Ovis aries: one gene and its partners. The protein of the gene in region 2 binds, or shares a complex with, the protein of the main gene of each other region. Links are inferred from orthologs where the notes say so. Each region holds a gene or a part of one and is shown on either strand. Other genes may lie near its edges. The genes, in order: B9D1, MKS1, TMEM107, TMEM67 and AHI1.

Region 1 (4,310 bases), about 25 Mb from region 2:
CCATCCAACCATCTCATCCTGTTTTGTCCCCTTCTTCTCCCGCCTTCAGTCTTTCTCAGCATCAGGGTCTTTTTCAATGAGTCAGTTCTTCACATCAGGTGGTCAAAGTATCAGAGTTTCAGCTTCAGCATCATTCCTTCCAGGAATATTCAGGACTGATTTCCTTTAGGATGGACTAGTTGGATCTCTTTGTTGTCCGAGGCACTCTCAAGAGTCTTTTCCAACACCATACTTCAAAAGCATCAATTCTTTAGCACTCAGCCTTCTTTATGATCCAACTCTCACATCCTCCATACATGACTACTGGAAAAACCATAGCTTTGATAATGAGCAACGGAGACGTATTCACACTCCAGTACTCTTGCCTGGAAAATCCCATGGACGGGGTAGCCTGGTAGGCTGCAGTCCATGGGGTCGCTACCAGTCAGACACGATTGAGCGACTTCACTTTCACTTTTCACTTTCATGCATTGGAGAAGGAAATGGCAACCCACTCCAGTGTTCTTGCCTGGAGAATCCCAGGGACGGGGGAGCCTGATGGGCTGCCGTCTATGGGGTCGCACAGAGTCGGACACGACTGAAGCGACTTAGCAGAGTTGGCAGCTAGTACAGCAGACGTACTCAATTATCCATCCACTCCACTAGCTGCCACCAGTGCTCAGGCAACCGGGACACGGGGGTGGCCCAGACCCGGTGTTCGTGGCGTAGGGCTCAGGGGAGAGGCGGCACTGGCTGGAGCTATCACAGTAATCGATGTGCAAAAGCGAACAGTGGGGAGCGCTGAGAGCAGGCGGACGGCCGAGCCCCGCGGGCTCGCCCCTCCCCGCCGGCAAGGTGCCGGGGCGGCCACTCAGAGGCCCGTTTTCCCGCGTCACGCGGAGACCTGCAGTCTTGGGCTTAAGGACCTTCCAGGTCCCTTCTCGGTTGGTCTAATAAACTTTTGGGAGGCGAGGGTCTCAAAGGCACGAGGGAGCATCTGTAGACCCGAGGCAGGGAGCTGCTGGCCCCACGGGGACTCTCGGAAGCGCGGCCGGACCCCGCCCCTTGGCGGCCTCGGGCTCCAGTCACACACTCCAACCGGCAGCGCGGTGGTCAGAGCGGACACACATTCCCGGGCGGTGGCCTAGGTCCCGCACCACCAGCTACATTCACGCGGGGTTCCTCGGGCGGACCGCCCCTCAGACGGACCAGGCGGCTGAGGCCCGCCTCCCACCGCACAGCGCCGCTCCGACTGCGCTTGCGCGCCGCGCCTTGTGCGCGTTTTCCCGAAGCTCCCGCTTCCATGAAACTTGTCCCGTGCGCCACGCCGTCGTCTCCAGGGCAACCCGGCGCCTCCTAGTAACCGCGCGGCCCGGCTATGGCGGCCGCGGGCCCCAGCGTGTTCCTGCTCATGGTCAACGGGCAGGTGGAGAGCGCCCAGGTGAGCGGCCGTGAGTCCTCCAGGGTCGAACCTCGGGGGAGGGAGCTAGCGTGACAGGCTTGGCGAGAGATCGCGCGGACCCTCCGCCACGAAGTGCGGTGGGGAAAAAGGCCTGGAGCGTTGAGCCAGGCCGAGGCCACAGTTGGCCGAGCCCACGTGAAGATTCGGGCAGGGGCCTCCATCCACCCCGCGACCCTCAGCTCCTCCCTCCGGCGCGGGTTGGTCTGACACAGCGATGGTGGCAGCTGTCCTGACCCGGAGGCTGTGTCTGTCCGACGGAAGGGGACAGTGCTTTCCAGTCCCCTGCATGTCCTAAGAACCGTTTGTTACTACTGGAAGACATGACATATGACAGTCTTCATGCCCAGCCCCGCTCAGCCAGTCCTCACAACAACCATTTGAAGTAGGTATTACTTGCACCCCCATTTTACAGATGGGAAGTTGCCCAAAGGAAGTGGCAAAACGAATTTCAAACCTTGTCTGATGTCAAAGCTTTGCTGGACTTGCCTTTCCAGGCTGTTTTAAAAATATTATGATTATATTGTGAGTACTAACCAAGGTGGTCTAGGTAAAGCTCCGTGGGATCTCTTAGCGGGCATCTCCCGCCTTCCTGTTTCATCAGGGTCACTGCCCCATGCCCCCACCCTGTCCACCTCCCCTTGGCCTGGTGCCTAAGGCCAGCCTCTCCTGTTCTGCTTTATCCCAGCAGGGGCCTCAGCTGGGCTGGGTCAGTGTGCCTGTGTTCTCAGCAGCCCCTCATCCCCACTCTTCCTCCCCTCTGCTCGAGGCCACTCTGCAGGCCATTGGCTCCCACCAAGCTTTGTGTCCTGGGAGCACCTGTCTTCTAGACCTTTCACTTCAGCATCACTCCTTAGTGCCCACCCTGTGCCAGGTGCTAGGGACACAGAAAGCCCACATACCTGTCCCTTGTTCACAGTCTAATGGAGCTGAGAGAATAAACATGGTCAGTGCTGTGATGGAGCACCAGGGGCTGTGGAAGCTGGGATGTGGCTCCAACAACCTGGAAGTCGGCAGGCTCCCCAAAGTGTCAGTTTTGAAGGGTGAGCAGGAGTACTCCCAGTGAAGGCATTCCTTCACTTCTCATTAGAAGGGCACGTCATACAGATGTCAGAGCCTGAGCAAAAGCCTGGGGGCAGCACTGTCCCTGGACTATCCCACATCTTGAGACCAGACCTTCCAATGAACTCCGTATCCATGCACCCTGCTCTCTCAGCCCCCGCCCCCTAGGTGCCTCATGTTCAGAGTTGCTGGTGGCTGTACCTGCCTAGCTAACAGGTGGTCACAGCATGAGTCCCTGTGAGCAGAAGCTGTGTGTGCTTATTTCCACAGTTTCCTGAGTACGACGACCTCTACTGCAAGTACTGTTTCGTGTATGGCCAGGACTGGGCCCCCACAGCGGTAAGCTGGACCCTACAGCCTCCCAGACTCACAGCTTTTGTGACTGAAGGGGTTTCTGAAGGCTCCATTGCACCCTTTCCCCTCCCAATTCAGAACCAGTTAAGAGTTCAGGGGTGGCACACACGTGAGTTTGTTCCCAGTGAGGCCGGAGCAGAGAATGCAGAGATCCCTGATCCACCCCTAAGACTGTGGTCGCTCCTGGGCCCTGCCCTGCAGCGAACAAAGCCAGACCAGCCCAGCTCTGCTGGGGCCACTTGCCTGAGAGGGAGACAGACTCACGCTCCAGGCTGTTGGCTAGTAGCGGTGCTGAGGGGAAAGTGAAGGCAGGAAGGGGAGGGATGAAGAGGCCAGAAAAGGCCTCCTTAAGACAGTTTAAAAAAAAAAAAAAAAAGATGGTAACTGAGCGTAGAGCTGAAGGAAGCAGGGGGATGGGCCAAGTAGAAGGCTGTAGAATAAACTAGCCAGGCAGAAAGACAGGGGAGAGGGCAACAGCCTGCTGGACCATACCCTATTCCGCAGGAGGTGCAGGTGGAGCTTGGGCACCGGGAGAGGGGAGGGGCCTCAAGGTTTCAGGTCCTAATGGATAGAAACCCTCAAAGACCTGGGAGCCACTCTGTCACATCTTAGGTCCCTTTGTTTGGCAGAAGATGGTGATGAAAACAGCTCTCAGCTGCCACCTCAGAGGTAGGGTGGGTGGGCATGGCAGCCTGGAGCTGGGACACTGGCCGTCACTGTCATTGTCCTTGCAGGGGCTGGAGGAGGGCATCTCACAGATCACCTCCAAGAGCCAAGATGCGAGGCGGGCGCTGGTGTGGAACTTCCCCATCGATGTCACCTTTAAGAGCACCAACCCTTACGGCTGTGAGTCTGCAGGCCTCGTCCTGCCCATCCATGGGGCCCTCTACCAGCCTTGTCAGGTGCTATCAGACACCTGGCTGTTTTCCCCTCCTTCCCACTGTGTGCACTTGACCTTTCCGAGGTTCTGAGGAAGTCGGTGAAGCCCAGCGTGAAACCTTGGGCAGTGACTGCCTGCGAAGGTCAGAGCCTGGTGTCTGGGGCTCAGCAGTCTGGCCCCTCAACAGCTCTCCCCCGTCCATCACCACTGTGCTCCCGCCAGTCCCGACCCCCCTGCTCCTCCTCCAACACCCTGCCCTGAGCCAGGGGTAGGCCCTTCTCTCTGCCATGGGCACCGAGCCCTCATCCTACCTCTGATCTCCCAAAGTTCTCCTTGCCAATATCTGCAGGGTTTGTTGTCCACTGTACCTGGTCGTCTGTGATCACTCTCACTTAATGAATGTTAGCTGCGTGCAGAGCCTAGCTTGCTCCACAGAGTTGTGCGTGCTTTCCACGCGTGGGCTTGGCTGAGCTGTGAGATACTATCGAGAAGGCAGGCTTCTCTCCACCTTTTCTCCTGTTTAGGAAACCAAGACTCAAAACAGTGGCATCATTTGCCTCAGCTTCACCTTGAGTA
Region 2 (4,310 bases):
GTCTGCAAGCCTAGCATTAGAGACACTGCTGGCTCCCCAGTCCCTCCAGCAGATCGGGCAGGGAGCAGCAGCCACATCACCCACAGGCTGTGCCCACCTACCTACTCCAGCCTGGCTGCCAGAAACACACGGGAATTCCTAGACAGGCTCACTTAACATGCTTCTGAGTTAAAACACGAGGCCAGAAAGCCAGGGGAAACCAAGGTGAAGGGAGCTACAGAGCATGGCTAAGTCTACCTGAGTCTGTCTACTTGGGAAAGAATGGTACCTCCTCCAAATTGGTGTATCTATCAGAGTCAGTGTAGGTAAAGATCCGTCGGTTCTTCCTGCCACCTGAATCTTCCAGCTTCAGAATCTCTTGATGGTACTGATGATCCAAAGGGCTCTGACAGGCGGCTTCATTTTGGTACAGATCTACTTCAAACTGAGGTCACAAAGAAACAGAGTTCCACTGAGAGTATTTTAATTTTGTCACTACAACTGTTTGGTCAAATACCATTTGTCATGATGTTTTATCTAAACTGATGGAGGACAGAAAGGCCAACGAAGGTTAGAGCTACAAGGAACCAGAGCGACAGTCTAACTCAATTCTGCTGTTATAGAACTGACATACCAAGACAGTGATTCTGCTGTTTCGGTATGCGGCCCAGAGGTAAAAAGCATGTTACTCAAGATCATAAAACTGGCTAGTGGCAGGCACTGCATTACACTGATCCCGTACACACAGCAGTGGGAAGCATACACTGTTGTAACCTTTCTGGAAGTCAGTTTGGTGATATGTATCAGGAACCTTTCCCTGCGACCAGGCAGGTGGACGTGGGCAGGGTGCAGGGAGATGGAGCAGACAGGGACACTAGCCCACCTGACTGAAGAGCTTCTCTTGCCACCCAATCACAGCCTCCTCTTCTTCTTCCTCTGGGCGGTGTCCACCTCCAAAGAAAACAGAGTGAGTCAAATGTTTGAGCCCAACTAGCACCACTTCTTGCTCTCTGGTTGGTTATAACCAAAGTCTGTGCTCTTATATTTGCCACAAAACCAGTTGGAGTTCACTGATTATGATGTACTCACTCTAGAGAGGCAGTAGATATGTGCAGAAGCCAAGGTTAAGACCCATGAAGTTTTAATCACCCCTCTAACTTTAATAAAAGAAATCACGTCCTCCAGGAATTATTTAATCTAATTCAGAGTCAAGAGCTGAAATTTAGATATAGGCTAAACAGCTCTTTCTCAATCCCAATTGTCTACATTTGCTATGAACCATGGCATTTTTATCTTCAATATTTCTGAAGCCATAAATCTAGAATCACAAACACTGTAACCTTAAGAGGCCAAGTATTAAGAGAGAAAAGGAAAGACATATAACAGATTTCTTTTTAAGAACCAAATCCAGTATGTACACTCCTAGATGAGTATGCCTTTTCCAAAGATATATGCTTCAAAACCCACCAGCTCACACTTTTACCCAGAAATATTTCTGAACAGAAACAACAAAAGCAAAGAGACTAGTGACCTAACACAAACACACTGTCTTCTCTTTCTTAGTTTTCTGGCTTCTCAGAGAAAGAAAAAGGCTAGAACACAGATAATACTAATATGTACATTTTCTGGGACTTCCCTGGTAGTCCCATGGTTGCTTTGCAGGGAGGATGGGTTCCATCGCTACAGGGAAAATTAAGATTCCACATGCCACACAGCAAGGTTAAAAAAAAAAAGTGCATTTACCATGCAGACCCAAATGTTTAACTTGTTTATAAAAAGTGTTTATATTCTAAGTTTCAAGTTTGGAGTGCTATTTTCTCAGAAAAAAGAAAAAAAAAAAGTCAGAAATGGCATTTGGGTTTAGAGGTAAATTTATAATATACCCAAAGCACGGTATTTGCTATTTCACTACATTTAACCACAGTTCAGATCAGCTTCTTGATGATAGGAATCATTTCTTGAATTCAATTTTCACACAACATAATGTAGTAGTTAAAACTGCCTGGGATCAAATTCTGATTTCAACAGTTAGTAGCCCGGTGACCTTGGACAAGAAACCCAACCTCTCTATACCTCAGACTATAGACCTGGGTCTACTCTGTCTTAAGAAGTAACCTCCGCCCTAGGCCCTTCCCCAGATCCCCAAGGGGCCGCATCACCACCATACACCCACTGGCCGTTGGGTGAGGCCTAAAAGTGGCCAAGTCTATGAGATCCTTCCCCAGCTGGGCAGCAGGCTGGCAATGGAGGTAGTTGCTTGATGTGATTCTTTGCAGGTGGACTCTGCCAGGAAAAGAGAGGCCCAAAATACTGTTACAAGATACACAAGCAGGAGACACAGCAAGGATGGGGAACAAAACACTGAAGAGATTATGGCTACCAGGAGATGTGGCCGGATGCAGGCAACAGAGGGGAGGGCAGGGGGCATGGGGCCCCAGGGAGGAGAGGATGCGAGAGTGTATTGCAGGGAGACAGGGCTCTGAGGAATTTGGGGGGCGGAGAATCCCAGGGACAGGGGAGCCTGGTGGGCTGCCGTCTATGGGGTCGCACAGAGTCGGACACGACTGAAGCGACTTAGCAGCAGCAGCAACAGGGTCCTGAAAGGGTGAGTCTAGGAAGTTGCGAGTGAAGAGGGTTCCAGGTAGTGAGGGAAACGCGAGGAGACCGGGGTGACAGCGGTCGGTACTGCAAAAGGAAATGAGGGCCCCAGCAAAGGAGAAGTGTAATTCAGGCTCCAATCATCTGAGAGCATGAAAGCACGGGGCTCTGGGGTGATGCGACTACCGGAGGCGGAGGTTGCGCACGGGGTCCCGGGATCGGTACACGGCCTCTCCGGTGTCACTGCTCCAGATGGCCTCCGCCATGACAGCTGCGCCGCGCACGACTGCGCCGGAAAGCGCACCGCCCCGGTTCCCCTGGCAACTGAGACGCCGTCCGGAACCTGGAACCCGGTTCCCTAGGCGGCGCGGCAGAAGCCCCGCCCATCGCGGCTGGGGTGGTCCTGCGGGGTTGCCACTGGTCTTTAGTGCGAACAAAGCTCGCTCACACCCAAGGCCGGGGTGGATGCGCTTGACGAATGAGGAAACTAAAGCAGCGCTGTCGGCCCCCATTATGTAGATTCGGACAGAAATGGTCGTGGGCCCCAAATCCGAGTGTCCTGAGTTCTCAGCGACTACTTTTCCCACCACATCGCAGTCTTACACTGAATCCTGGGACACTTTGGCCTCAGAATCGGTTAACGGGGACTCACAGGATGCACCCATTCTTCCCAGAGGAGTGACGGGAGGTGAAGACAGTTACCCAGACGTGAAAGTATTTTCTTGGAAGCAAACAAAAACGTCAGAAGATTTATTAATCCTTGCGTTGGCATTCACTGAACCAGAGAAAAAAGAAACAAGGAAGCTAGCAGTAAGGAAGGAAAAGATGTCATTATTGCACTGGTTTTTCCCCTGCATGTGTTATTTCCCCATTTTTAAGCCACCTTAGATACCGCACTGACCTTGAGAAAGTCAATAAAACGCCATCCTGAAGACGTTCTGCATTGGGCTGCCAAAGGCGGAACACACCTGTAACCTCGAGTCCGGCTCTCTGGCACCTTGGGGATGGCAACAGTTATCAGCCTTTGTCATTTGCTGCTTCTTGTCCCCTGAACCCAATTTGATTATATGGCATTGGGAGCCATCAGCAACAAAGCTGCTCTTGTATAACGCTAAAGACTCACTATAACAATAGCCCTATTTATGTAAGATCTAATAGGGCTCCTTGTTTATATTGTCCCTAATCCTCCTAGAAATCCCTTAAGTAGGTATTTGTTATTCTCATAGCCAATGAAGTTATTGAAGGCCAGAACTTAAAGGTTGAACTGGAGTAAGTGGTAGAGGAGCTGAGACTCCAGCCCAGGCCTGTCTTTTGAAGCATGAACACCTTCCACCTTTCTTCACAATGCCTCACCTACCAATTTATTCTGTAAGAGCACACAATTCCCAACCTGGGAAATGGTAATAATTATTTCAACAGGTGAAACCATGAAGGCAGAATATCAGTTCTTAAGAAAAAAAATAAATCTAATTTTTTCTTTTAAAATTGTGAATAGGCAACATTTTGCCATATGAACCACCAATGATAAAGTTGGAGCCTGAACCAACTTTCATTTTACACCAAATCTAACTTAGAGCAAAGTCAACCTGACATAATTATAAGCAAAGTACTGTATCACATGACATCCAAATATAGGTGATTTGTCTAAGAACCATAATTAAATTGTTTTTATACAGGTAAACTATATTTTTATTCCTTTTATTTACTGATAGAAATCAGGATTCTTAAAACTG
Region 3 (4,224 bases), about 19 Mb from region 2:
GGACCAACACTGCTGCTGCTCCTGCTGCTAAATCGCTTCAGTCGTGCCCGACTCTGTGCGGCCCCATACACGGCAACCCAACAGGCACCCCGGTCCCTAGAATTCTCCAGACAAGAGCACTGGTGTGGGTTGCTATTGTCTTCTCCAACGCATGGTGAAAAATGAAAGCGAAGTCGCTCAGTCGTGCCCGACGCTACTTCAAGTACAACTAAGGAGACAGTACTAAAAACTCAATCTAATCGTAAAGTACATTAACATCACGGATCGCCAGGAAGAATCAGATAGGAGCAATCAGGGTGTTGCAAGTCCTGATTACGCAGAGCCGTTAATCACGAATCATGCGAGCTCCAATCATCATGTTCTATTCTGCCCTCCAAAAGGAGGAACAGGTAAGGATTATCCTACCTGACGATACCGAGAGGACTGCAATATTCCGTACTCCGGTAATAAGACTCCGCTAACAGGTAGGGTGAGTAAACGACATGTTAGTTCGAGCCATCTAAAGCTATCCAGGTTCTTCCACTTCTGTTGTTCAATTTATTTGCAGATGTTTTAAAATAAATTTTTCCATTTGGCTGTCAAAAAGCAAACGCTAATCCCTCCCAGAATGCTTCACTCACTTTAAGAGCTCGAGGTACTAAAGTATAACCTTATTTACATATCTCCGCCCACTCCCTTCCGTCAGAAATCTACCGTAATAACTAGAATAGAAGCGACATTTAGGGTCTTACAGTGCAAGGCTGGAAAACAGCCTTCCGTTTCTATAGTAGTTTGGCCACCCCAATTTTCTCCTGAAATTTTTGTCTTGATTTTTTTCTTTTTCTTTTTTTTGGCCACGCTGCCTAGCATTCAGGATCTTGGTTGCTCCACCAGGGACTGAACCCGCTGCAGTGGAGGCGTGGGGTCCTAACCACTGGACAGCCAGGGAATTCCTGCAGGAATTCCTGTAAGTTTGATCTTACCCTAAAATATATTTTATTACAAAGGACTGTAAACAAAACACAGATAATCCCAGACTTGAGAGATAATTACCCTAACACTGACATCGTTCACCAAACGCAGTGTTAGAAGGAGGGCTGAAGCCTCCCTCTTCCAGGAAGGGTGAGTAGTCCTTCGCTCCTTCAGCCTTCATCCCTACTTCCAGTCACGAAGATATCAGAAAGGTTTCTTTTTCAGGCCAAAGACGCTGATGAATAATGTTATTTCGGTGACAGCCGGGAGGGCACTGAGGAAGGCAGGTGATGGGTTCAGAGTTTCTTCTAATAAAAATACCCAGATCCCCAAGCCAGCGATCCCACCCCCCGACCCCCTGAAGTGTAGGAGTGGAGGACTTCAAAAAGACTCGGGAATGTTGAGTGGATCTGGTATGTTACACATGGAACAAAGGGCTGGGTAGGGGAATCTTCAGATTTAAAGTAAACCTCCCTTCCCCATCCTCAAACATTAGGTGCTACCATACCTGCAAAAGACAAAAATGTACCAATACATGGTGCACTCCCAACGCTCAAATATGAAGAAGGATAGGGCCACAGATGCACTACAGTGAGCCCCGATGGCTTGGGAATACACCAGAGTCAAGGAAAGCCTTTGGGTCAACAGGTAGTGATGAGCCAGAAAAGGCCGGTGATGGGCCTGGCATCTGCATTCACAATCAGCTCCTGGTGAGCAAGGCATCTCTTGCTCCCTTTACCACACTGCAAAGGCCAGAGCCAGCAGCCCAGATTTTTGGGTTTTAGGATGGCCATGTGTAGAGGCCAGAGCTGAGCCTGCCCTGTTGGGAAACCAAGCTACCTCCATCCCATATCTAGTTTGGATCCTTCAGGTGAAGTAGTAGACTCCTGATCTACTCCAAGCACACAGACATGCTCACAGTGACACAATACACTGCTGGGATCACTCTCCAGTACCCTGGTGTTGAGAGCCTTCCCTGATCCATCTTCCTCACTTCCTTTGTCTCTTCGGCATTCCCATAGTGCTTTGTATCTTAACATCTGATGGCACCCGTGCTTATCACACTGAATTGCAGATGTCTGTGTATCTGCCTCTTCCTCAAGATAGAAAACTGTTGTACTCTCATCTTGAGATCTCCAGTGCCTGGTGAGTAGCAGGAGCTCAAAAAGTGATCAGAGATTGTATTAAATCTTCCACATTGCCTAACATCTCTCCACAGGAGGGATTCTGTTTGCCTGCTAGAGCAAACGCCATTGTGCCAGAAAGGCCTAGTTAAGTGGCTGAAGGGCGTTATGGTGGACAAGGGCGAGGAGGAAAGGAGTACACGTAGAAAGGATACAGATGAGGCTCTGGGTGCTGTTGAACATGGAAACTCCTAAGAAGAAACCAGCCAGCTCCACTGCAAAGAGAGCTAGGGTGACAGAGAGCGCTGCCACCAGCCTGCAGAAAAGAAGGAAGTGGCTTAGGCCTTCTGAACTTTTTCTAAGACCCCTTCACTCCCTCTACTGCCTAATTCTGCCCACCCTGTCCCACATGCTCACTGAATGTCCTGCTTCTCATACTCTTCAGGGGTGAATCTGAGAGGCAGGCAGGCCTGGATGTTGCTGTCCTAGGGAGCAGGGCAGAAAGAAACAGAAGTTGAAAGAGGGTCTGGCGGCTGGATATGGGAAGACCCCACCGTGTAAGGCCCCGGGAGAGAAAGGGTGGAGTGGGGCTGGGACCACCCCAAATTGGAAGGAGGAACGAGAAGAGGGCCCTGGGTCTTACCCTGGACCAGAATAAGGTGATGACGACCACCAGATGCGCCAGGAGCGTCAGAAAGCGAGAGGGCACGAGCCCTGAGATCCGGCCCATGGTTCCCAGGGGAAGAGGTACCGCCTGGAGCAGAGGCCGTTTGTCTCTGGGGCTGGAAGCTCAAGGAGGGTCACTCCTCAAGTCTCCCAAGCTAGCAGACAAAAATTCGACGTACGCCGCTTTCCCGCTTACGCTGGCACCGCTCAGTTGCCTTAGTAACCGCAAAAACGATGGCTCCGACGGGACCTCTGAAAGTCTCGCGAGAGCGGCAAATTATCGCGCCGCCTCCGGGCCTCTGGGAAACTTTGTTCCGGGTCCACAATACCTGTGCAGATCCCGACCGGATGCGGAGAATCGAGCTGCCGGCCTTCCCGCGTGCAGATGAGTTGTCTGCACAGCCTGAGAGTGTGTTGTGGCGCGGCCCCCCATTGCCGAGTCTGCCCACACAGCACTGGCGAACGGAAATTCGGACACTCGCTCCTCCCTGTATCCCCATGCCGGGAGCGGCCTGGCCCCCAGCCCCTGCTACTTTGCCCAAGATGATCCTCCAGACACCACAGTCACCACCACTCCAGCCTTAGGGCGTCAACATGCCCGAGCCCTGGACACTGTCTTTTCTTCCATCCCCCGCATCCGTGTAGCTTCTCCTTGACCTAGGCCGAACTTGGAGAGGTGGATGCCCCTTTATTGTCCTGGAGCCCCTGGTTGTTGGCGGACCGTATACCTGAACTTTCCTTGATTCTGATTCCCCACCCAACCACCCACCCAGCTCGCTCAGATTGGTGAGGGATTTGCAGAGTACAGAAAAGAGCCCCTCTCCTGAACTAGGGTGTGGATGAGAGGCGTGTTGCGGGAAGGAAGTGGACGTACGGGACCAGAAAAGGGAGTGGAGGAAGAGAATGAAACCCCGCGTCCCTGGGAGGCAAGAGTCGAAGGCGGAAATTCAGAGTCTACGATTTCCTTATCTCTTGGAGGTGTGACCAGCAGAGTCTCTTTGCCCAGCTATAGTCCAAGCATTTCTCACGATTGGGACCTCACGGACCTTCGGACCTTAAAGGTGATTCCTGTAGAACGGAAAGTTCTCGCCGGAGTTCACGGCTAACAGTCAAGTCACAACTTCCAGGCTCCCCCCCCCACCCTCTTACCAGATCATCTCCCAAGAATAATAATGGATAATCCATAATAAGAATAGAAAAGAGTTTTATTTGAGCCAAACTAAGGAGTAGCCTGGAAGCTCCTTTCCCCGATTACTCTGAGAAACTGCCCCAGCGAAGCATCTTTTTCAGTGCAGTTTTGCATCTTGTAAGAACAAAGAACTTTATACAAGTCAGGGTTACATTTCTTCTTCTTCTTTTTTTTTTTTTTTCTTTTTTAAGGACCAGATGATTAATACACAGCAGGTCAGCATGGCCTTGGCACTTGGAAAATATCTCTCATAATCACATCGAAGGTGTCCCAGGAAGAGGGGCGTTTAATCTT
Region 4 (3,696 bases), on a different chromosome or scaffold from region 2:
GGCAACCCACTCCAGTATTCTTGCCTGGATAATCCCGTGGACAAATGAGCCTGGCAAAAGAGCTGGACGTGACTGAGCGACTGAGCACGCACGCACAGTGGGTTGGTGTTACAGAAACGGACAAAAGACTACAGGTCTAGCAGAGAATTAAGCACGTGATCCCAAAGTTTAAATCCTGCAATATGAACACAGCAGTCAACAATACAGGAAAACCCGAGCGCACTCTTATATACCTCACCAAAGTAAAAATAGTACTGTGCAAAACTACTTCAAATGTCTTTTCTCTGCCTTAATTTATCAGCAGATGAGCCAACTGACCTGTGTTTTAAAATTTCCACTTAGAAACATTCACATGAATATTAACTTCTCATATGTGGAATGAGAGTTGTTATTTTTTTCATAAGCTTCTGAGTAGGTGGCTTTACAAATCCAGGCTGGTATGTTTACTTATCTCTGAGCCTTTTAGAAAGGCATCTCTGTACGCCGACCCTTAAGAAAGCAGAATTTCAGATCCTCAACTTATTAGCCTCCCCTCTTTCTCCTCAGTCATCCTCAAGGTTCTGGTAACGCTTTTAAAGGATTCGGCTTCAGCAATGGCTGGGGACACCAGATTCAGTAGTGTATTCCTAAATGCTACTTCACAAAATACATACTAAATCAAACAGGAAAGAGAAACACTAATAATATGCTTTATTCTATATTTTCAATTTGGTAAGATAAACAATATTTACATAGCAATACATTTAAGTATTTACATAGCATTAACCAGAAGGCAGAAAAAAATGTTGCTTTGGGCATTAATGACCATTATACTTGAATAAAAGGTGACTTTCAAGTTCACAGTATACAATAAAAAGGATTATTAAAGAGTACTTTGAAAAAAAATGATATCATGCAGAATTATTGGCTATGTGGCTCAGGCCTAAGTTCGCTTTCAATAAACCACTTTCACATAACATGATAACTTACAGTTCATTTGTTATTTATAATCTTTAAACACAATTGAAGAGCAAATGTTTGGAAGTGCTTTTAAAATGTTGAGTAATTAAAATGTATAAAAAACTATCGGGGAAAATGTCACATATTACAGCTCAATAATATAAGTGATATTTATATATTATAGATATAAATACACTTCATAGAAACAGCATACTTCAGGGAAACAAAGGAATGAGAGTGTACCACTTCACAAACTGCCTATTAATCCAGTAGTGAATCAGTTCACTGCCAGAGTGAGCAACTGAGTCAGCCCACATACAATTTCAAATATCTAAGTAAACTTGAAAATATTTTCAACATTTATTTAACCATAAAATACGTAAAACAAAATGAACTGAAAACTAGGCTTGAACTGGAATCAATTTTTTTTTCAATGTGAGAAAATATACACAAATCTAGTTATAAAATAATCTTATAGACACAAATGATGGGGACTGTTTTGATTATCATTTAAAAAATGTTATGCTGAAAGCAATTTAGACTTTTTTTTTTGGTCCCATTGTCAGAGCTATCTAGTTTATGAGCTGGTGAATTAAATACCATGCATAACAGGAAAACAATATTGTTCATTGTATCATATTACATATTCACAAAGCAAGTTTATGTCTCTATGAGTTATAAAAATAAATCTTCCTGTAGATTAAAAAACAAATAAAAATAGAATAATTTGTATTACAAGTTTTAAAAAATATAGCAAACTGACTTGATAATCATGACCTTTTTTTTGGCCATGATTATAATTGTCCTTATCTACTCAATAAATTAAATCAGGAATCTTTGATCCACCAGTGTTTTGGATGCCAAATTCTTCTGTCCTACTGCATTACGAATAAATCTAAAAATCTGAAAAAAAAAAAAAGAAAAGTAAAAACAATTCAGAGGGAAAATACATATAAAGGAAATCAAATGTGAATGTCAGTTAAAATATCTAAATTAAACTAGCCAATTCTTGCAGCTATTTTCATGTAGCAGACACCTGAATTCCATGGTGATATACAAAACTATTTCAAGACTATCATCTTTCATAATACTGAAGCAGTGTATGTCCCTATTCAGAATATGTTTTAATAAATTAATACAAATCCCCTTATGTTCATAGGAATATACTTTGAAATATTTGGCAAGACAAGTTTCCCCTAGCTCTAAAATCTATGGAAATATCAAAAGAACTGTCAGGAACAAAATGTGTTCCTAATTCTAGATCTCTATCAAGAACTAACTCATCATACCACTAATTCATACACTACTTTGACCTAAGTGGGGAATATGTCGGTGATACGAATGCTAACATTTCTAGAACAAACTTGGCTTTTCTTGAAGTCTCCATTTCAGGTTCCACACTAATCCACGCAGCTGTTTTTTCATCCAAGCAGGTAGGTGATATGTGAATTGAAAGTTATACTGGCTGAGCCCTGAGCTAGATCTCAGAGTTTGCCTTTTGTAATGGTAACATTGGTGCAGATGGTAAATGGGATTCTAATTCTGCTCAATGCTGGCATCTAAGAGAGAAAGGTAACTTAAGTGTCTTCCTACTGGATTTCTTTCACATTTGGTCAAGCAACTTATGCCCTCCACAAGTCCTTGGTATTTCAGTGACTCTGAAGGAGAGTGTAAAATGAACTTGGTTGAAATGTTTTTCCTTTCTTTGGCAGGGCTAATCAAATTCTAAATCTCTATAAATTCTGAGTGTAAGTAGACACTGATACTCTCTGCAATAAAAATAAATATCCACTTCCCACATATTTCTCTTCAAAGAAATCCACAAAAAATTCTTAAATTTACCTCTTGTTGTAGATATGTAAGGAAGGCTGCTAAAACAAAATTTTGGCAAGCCAAATCCACAACACAGAAGAACATCAGATCATAAATAAGAAGAGTAGCTTCATTTCCATAATACAGAACATTGCTGAAAGAATATCCTTCATCTATTTTAAAAAAAGGCAATTAAGAAGATATAAATTAGAAATTTAAAAATAGAATAATAAATGTGATAAATTTCTGGTGATAAAACTTGAATATTTAAAATAACTAGTTACTATAATACTCCATGGCTATTATATGTCAATTATACTTGAATTTAAAAAAAAGAAAAAATATTTCATGACTTATAATAAACAAACAAGGGGTATTAAATTTGCTAATCTAAAACATTAACCAAGGAAAGTAGTTTTAACATTTGCAGCAAAAGCTTGGTAACTGCTACTAATTTAAGTATACAGTCTGTATTTTTCAATGATCAGATAATGAATGTCCTTTCTCTATTTGTTTACATAACTAAAGGTTAAAGAATCTTAGAAAAAATTCTCAAAGATAAGATTAAATTTAAAAAGCAAAATACACTCTCTTGTATAGCAGAGCATTGTAAATAAAAACACAGCATTGTAAATCAACTATACTTCAATTTTTTTTTTTTTAAGGCAAAACAAAACCAGCAAGGACTACAAGAGTGTGTTACAATTTATGCCTCAAACAGTTCCCCAAGGTTCTGCTCTGAGACCTCTTTTCACTCTCCAAGCAGGGGTGGGTTCATCCTTTTGGGGATGTGAACACCCTTTTAAAATTCTAATGAAAGGTACAGATCCTTTCACAGGAGGCAGTGGGGAAAGCACACACATATGATTCTCGCACACAATTTCAGAGAGGGCCAGAGCCTCTTCAGCGATGCAGTGGCCCAGGAACACCCAGTTAGGACCCTTG
Region 5 (4,460 bases), on a different chromosome or scaffold from region 2:
ACCGAGGGATTGAACCCTGGTCTCCCACATTCCAGGCAGATGCTTTAACCTCTGAGCCACCAAAGAGTTGGGCTGGGCAATTTGTTTCCTTATCTGTAAAGTCAAAGGGCAACTATTCAGAGGACTATTGTTAAGAGTTAAATGATTAAAACGCTAAAAGAGTGCCTCAGAACAGACATCAACATTAGCCACAACTATAATAGATATTTCTTACAGGGACACTCAGTGAACTTGGTGGGACATGCTGGGCTGATACCTGATGGATATTAAGCAGCTACAAGCACTAGCTCTATTGTTAGATTCCCGGTTCTACCTGTCAGTAGATTAATCTCTTTGAACCTCAATTCCTCATCTTTCAAAAGAGAATAATAGTAATAAATGACTTATCGGGTACTATAAAGATTAAATAAGAATATGCAAGTAAAACACTTAGCACAATGCCTACAGTATGGCAAGCTCTTCAAAAATGATAGCTATTACTATATATATATATATATATATGTGGGTGTGTGTAAGGATGGAGATACATATACATATAATCCATTTATGTTAAGTAGACAACAGAATATAGCAATCCAGTGATGAGACAGAGGATGAAAATTTGGGCATTATTTATATTTGTGATGATTGCAAGAAAAAAATGCTGAAAAGAAAATTTGGGGCCCACAAAATAAACTAAAAGACATCAGGCAGAAAATGAAAAACTGGGAGCAGTAACCAAAGGAAAAAGAGTTTCAAGAAAGAAGTGGTCTACACTGTGCTCTCGAAGTGCCTTGATCTTCATTCCTCCTTCTGCTTCCTGAATTTTCACTCTGATAAACTACCCACCCCTCCCCAACCAAACTGCTAGCTGTGAGAGGGCTAGGCCTATGCTCTCTTCATCTTTGTATTCCCATTTTAAAAGGGGGTGGGGCAGTAATAGGGTCAAAATGAGTCAGGCATAAGCTCTTGTTTTGATAATTACTGAATGTATGGCTTTGGGCAAGCTACTTAATCTCACTAAGGCTTCTTTTTTTTTGCCTGGTAAATGAAAATGGCACCTCCTTTATTATAAGGAGAAGAGGAAATACTGAAAAGGAAAAGTGACCAGCACAGTGGATGGCCCATTACTTTATGTGATTATTATAGCATTGCTGCTAAGTCACTTCAGTCGTGTCCGACTCTGTGCGACCCCATAGATGGCAGCCCACGAGGCTCCCCCCGTCCCAGGGATTCTCCAGGCAAAAACAGACAATTATGTGATAGACAAAACATAATTATGTATTTATATTATTTACTATTATTTAATAGTCTAATGTACAATCCAATTAGTAAACACTAATATTATTCAATGATGAACACAGCAAATACATTACAGAAATAATCATCTCTAAGCAGTAATGTGTACTATAGCAAATACCTTAAATAATGACTTATATTTGATAAGTAAGATCATCAAGGAAAATTAAGGTCAAACTTAAAAAGAAATTGTGAACTTCATATATGTCATTATATTTAAAAACTTCTCCCTCATAATCCCTTTAACAGGACCTGCTAAGAAACATTAATACAAAATAGGAAAACAAACTGTTACATTTCATCTCATTTTATTTTTTCTCTAAACACCTCATTATCAGCCAATAAATGACTAAAGATCAAGGAAAAAACAGGCAGAGGCTTGGATGATTCACTCCTTACTGAATTTTACAGCATGGGAAAAAAGGAAACAAAAACCCGTATACATATTCAATCAATAAATCAAGATAGTATTTATAAATATGTAAGATTATAAATACAATGAAAAATTTTGGGCATTTAAATTTCTTTCATATATACTTTTTAAGTTCACAGAGTCCTCATAACAAGCAATCTTCTTCCATAAGACCAAGCAGTAACAGCAATCACAAATGCAACAAGTGAAAAAACTGTTAGTATCCTTCTCTCAGAAGAAGGAAAAGTCATATACTCCAATCAGTAGATGTTTTTATAGTAATGCTGAAAAGTAGCACAGCCATTTGGAAGAGATTCCTAAATAGTATATATTTCCTTTTATTTGTATACATATTGAAATAACCCTATTAATGTAGCTAGACTCTTAGAAACGTAACAGATCGATCACCCTTTCTCAGATGTAATTAAGGCATTTCACAGGTTCAAGATTCAGCACCAAGATGACACCCTAAAAGGAAATAAATGTAGCATCTGATTTAAATGTATGCTGTTAAACCAGAATCCATCCTAAAGGAGATCAGTCCTGGGTGTTCTTTGGAAGGAATAATGCTAAAGCTGAAACTCCAGTACTTTGGCCCCTCATGCGAAGAGTTGACTCACTGGAAAAGACCCTGATGCTGGGAGGGATTCGGGGCAGGAGGAGAAGGGGACGACAGAGGATGAGATGGCTCGATGGACGTGAGTCTGAGTGATCTCCGGGAGTTGGTGAGGGACAGGGAGGCCTGGCGTGCTGCGATTCATGGGGTCGCAAAGAGTCGGACACGACTGAGCGACTGAACTGAACTGAAACCAGAATCAGGAATAGGAAAGGCAAAGACTGCATTCACTCTTTCAGGACAACACGCTCAACGCTCCGGAGAAGATCCGCCCAGAACAAGAGAAAAAAAGTAAGTACGCAGAGGTAACTCTCAAAACCACATCTCTCCACTCCGCGGCGCTGGGCCGGTCAGATTGCAGTGGCGCTTCGCGGCCCCCGTCCGCCCTGCTGGGCCCACCGCCCCCACGCCCTCGGATCTGAGCAGCCCTCCACGCTGCTGTCCCCAGAGAGGGCAGGGCAGGCCGAGTTCCCGGGCCCGGGATCCCGCCACCACCAGCCTGCAGGTTACTCACACAGAAGAGGGCGCAGAACTGCCGACAACGGGTCCCTAGGGAGCCACCACCCGGACCGTGCGGGGCGGGCTGGGAGTGAGATAGCCACCCAGCCACCCCAGCCGCCCGCCTCCCAGACTCTGAGTACCCGCCGGGTGCCGCAGGGCTGGCAGCGCGCCTCCAGCCGACGTCAGCGCCTGCCTACGGCGCCGTCCCCATGACAACCGATGCGGGCCCGGCTCTCCTTTTGGACCTCGGCCGGCCTCGGCGCCCCACCGTGGCTCCGCCCCTCCCGCAGCCCCGCCTTCTCCGGGGTCTGGAGGCGCTGCTGTGTGGCGTAGGCGGAGGCGGCGCGCGCGCGCCCTCAGATTATGGTGGGGCGCGCGCTCGGGGGCTGCGCGTTGGACTCCTCGGGCCCGTGCGGGCCGCGAAAGGGAATCTGTTCCCCTTGGAGCTGGAAGGAACCCTGGGAATACGCAGGTGCTTCTCGGAGCTTGCTACCGTCCGGTCTGTCACCCGGAAGAAGCTCTCTGCTCTTCAGAACTGTAGCCAGCTCTGGGAAAAACGGCAGGGGGCAAAGCCAGACGAACGCTGTCGTGGAACCCGCCAAGGCAAAGAAACATGAATGATGCAAAGAAATACACTTGTCAAGCCACCACCACCACCACCCTCCCCCACGCGATCGTGCCCACGAAATGAAACATCCTTTTAAGCGTGAAGAATACAGAATTGTACCACAGATCAAATCTTAGGGAAAAAAATTATTCATCTGGGGCTGAGTTATCACAGTTATAGTGAGATAACTATGTGTTTAAAACAGAACAGCAACCCCCAAAAGGTCATCTTCTGCTACACCCAGTGCCCCCTCCCACGTTCTAATTTTTGCCACAGGCGCCATCTCTAGCTCTGAGTCACCAGGGATGGAAAAATACTAGTCAAGTCACTCCAGGACTCTTGCATTTCCTGCAGTTGCAGTCACACTAAAACCTGTTGCTTCGTGTGGTAAGAGTATTATGCATATTTATTTGGAGTCCAGCTTTTCCATTCGCATTTGCCTCTCTACACACTTCAAAGCATATCTCATTTGTTTCTCCAAATCCTGTGAGAAGTTAGTGATAAATTTTAACCAACCCAGTAGATCCCCATCTTTCCACTTAAAATTTAATTCTCTTTCCAGGTCTCTATCTTGGCTTTATCCTCCCAGTTTTCTAGTTAAATCCCTGTAGATCCTTCCAAATGGCTTTTAACATCAAATCATGTCCATTCTACATTTCTAACATTCCCAGGGTAAGATCTGTCCATCTTAACTCCCACTGCCTTCTGTTCAGCTTTATCACTTCTCATTGGGAATGTTGTGAGATGGCCTCATTACCAGTCCCTTGACTCCAGTTTTGATCCCTGAATTCCAGTCTCCACGCTGCTGTCATACTGACCTCACTGAAAATGTGAATTTGATACCACTGTCCTGGAAATTGTTCAAAGATGATCGGTAGAAGAAAGTTGTGTTACTCTGCCTAGAATAAAAGACACACGATCTACCTGACTAGTTTCATCTCTCATTGCCTTGTTTCAGTCATGCTTCAATTTATATTGAATTGTGTGTACCACGCAAGATAATTCATACTCTTTCATGCCCTAGTTCTTGCACATGCTGTCCTGTC

What was found.
Region 1: MKS1 (region 2) and B9D1 share a complex: the UniProt entries of both Homo sapiens proteins name them as parts of the tectonic-like complex. The link is inferred for Ovis aries from reciprocal best matches to the Homo sapiens genes MKS1 and B9D1.
Region 3: MKS1 (region 2) and TMEM107 share a complex: the UniProt entries of both Homo sapiens proteins name them as parts of the tectonic-like complex. The link is inferred for Ovis aries from reciprocal best matches to the Homo sapiens genes MKS1 and TMEM107.
Region 4: MKS1 (region 2) and TMEM67 share a complex: the UniProt entries of both Homo sapiens proteins name them as parts of the tectonic-like complex. The link is inferred for Ovis aries from reciprocal best matches to the Homo sapiens genes MKS1 and TMEM67.
Region 5: MKS1 (region 2) and AHI1 share a complex: the UniProt entries of both Homo sapiens proteins name them as parts of the tectonic-like complex. The link is inferred for Ovis aries from reciprocal best matches to the Homo sapiens genes MKS1 and AHI1.

The regions. Positions count from the first base shown.
Region 1 is NC_056064.1:33,860,158-33,864,467, forward strand, and holds the start of B9D1 (B9 domain-containing protein 1), read left to right. Parts: upstream 1-1,337; 5' UTR 1,338-1,357; coding exon 1,358-1,420; intron 1,421-2,770; coding exon 2,771-2,839; intron 2,840-3,588; coding exon 3,589-3,700; intron 3,701-4,310. UniProt on the Homo sapiens protein: Component of the tectonic-like complex, a complex localized at the transition zone of primary cilia and acting as a barrier that prevents diffusion of transmembrane proteins between the cilia and plasma membranes.
Region 2 is NC_056064.1:8,840,188-8,844,497, forward strand, and holds the start of MKS1 (tectonic-like complex member MKS1), read right to left. Parts: upstream 2,866-4,310; 5' UTR 2,844-2,865; coding exon 2,764-2,843; intron 2,263-2,763; coding exon 2,153-2,262; intron 931-2,152; coding exon 863-930; intron 425-862; coding exon 269-424; intron 1-268. UniProt on the Homo sapiens protein: Component of the tectonic-like complex, a complex localized at the transition zone of primary cilia and acting as a barrier that prevents diffusion of transmembrane proteins between the cilia and plasma membranes.
Region 3 is NC_056064.1:27,637,138-27,641,361, forward strand, and holds the start of TMEM107 (transmembrane protein 107), read right to left. Parts: upstream 2,963-4,224; 5' UTR 2,806-2,962; coding exon 2,719-2,805; intron 2,561-2,718; coding exon 2,493-2,560; intron 2,392-2,492; coding exon 2,291-2,391; intron 1,557-2,290; coding exon 1,460-1,556; intron 1,226-1,459; coding exon 1,156-1,225; 3' UTR 1-1,155. UniProt on the Homo sapiens protein: Plays a role in cilia formation and embryonic patterning. Requires for normal Sonic hedgehog (Shh) signaling in the neural tube and acts in combination with GLI2 and GLI3 to pattern ventral and intermediate neuronal cell types.
Region 4 is NC_056062.1:83,376,847-83,380,542, forward strand, and holds the end of TMEM67 (meckelin), read right to left. Parts: intron 2,925-3,696; coding exon 2,782-2,924; intron 1,843-2,781; coding exon 1,762-1,842; 3' UTR 670-1,761; downstream 1-669. UniProt on the Homo sapiens protein: Required for ciliary structure and function. Part of the tectonic-like complex which is required for tissue-specific ciliogenesis and may regulate ciliary membrane composition.
Region 5 is NC_056061.1:60,810,971-60,815,430, forward strand, and holds the start of AHI1 (jouberin), read right to left. Parts: upstream 2,942-4,460; 5' UTR 2,821-2,941; intron 1-2,820. UniProt on the Homo sapiens protein: Involved in vesicle trafficking and required for ciliogenesis, formation of primary non-motile cilium, and recruitment of RAB8A to the basal body of primary cilium.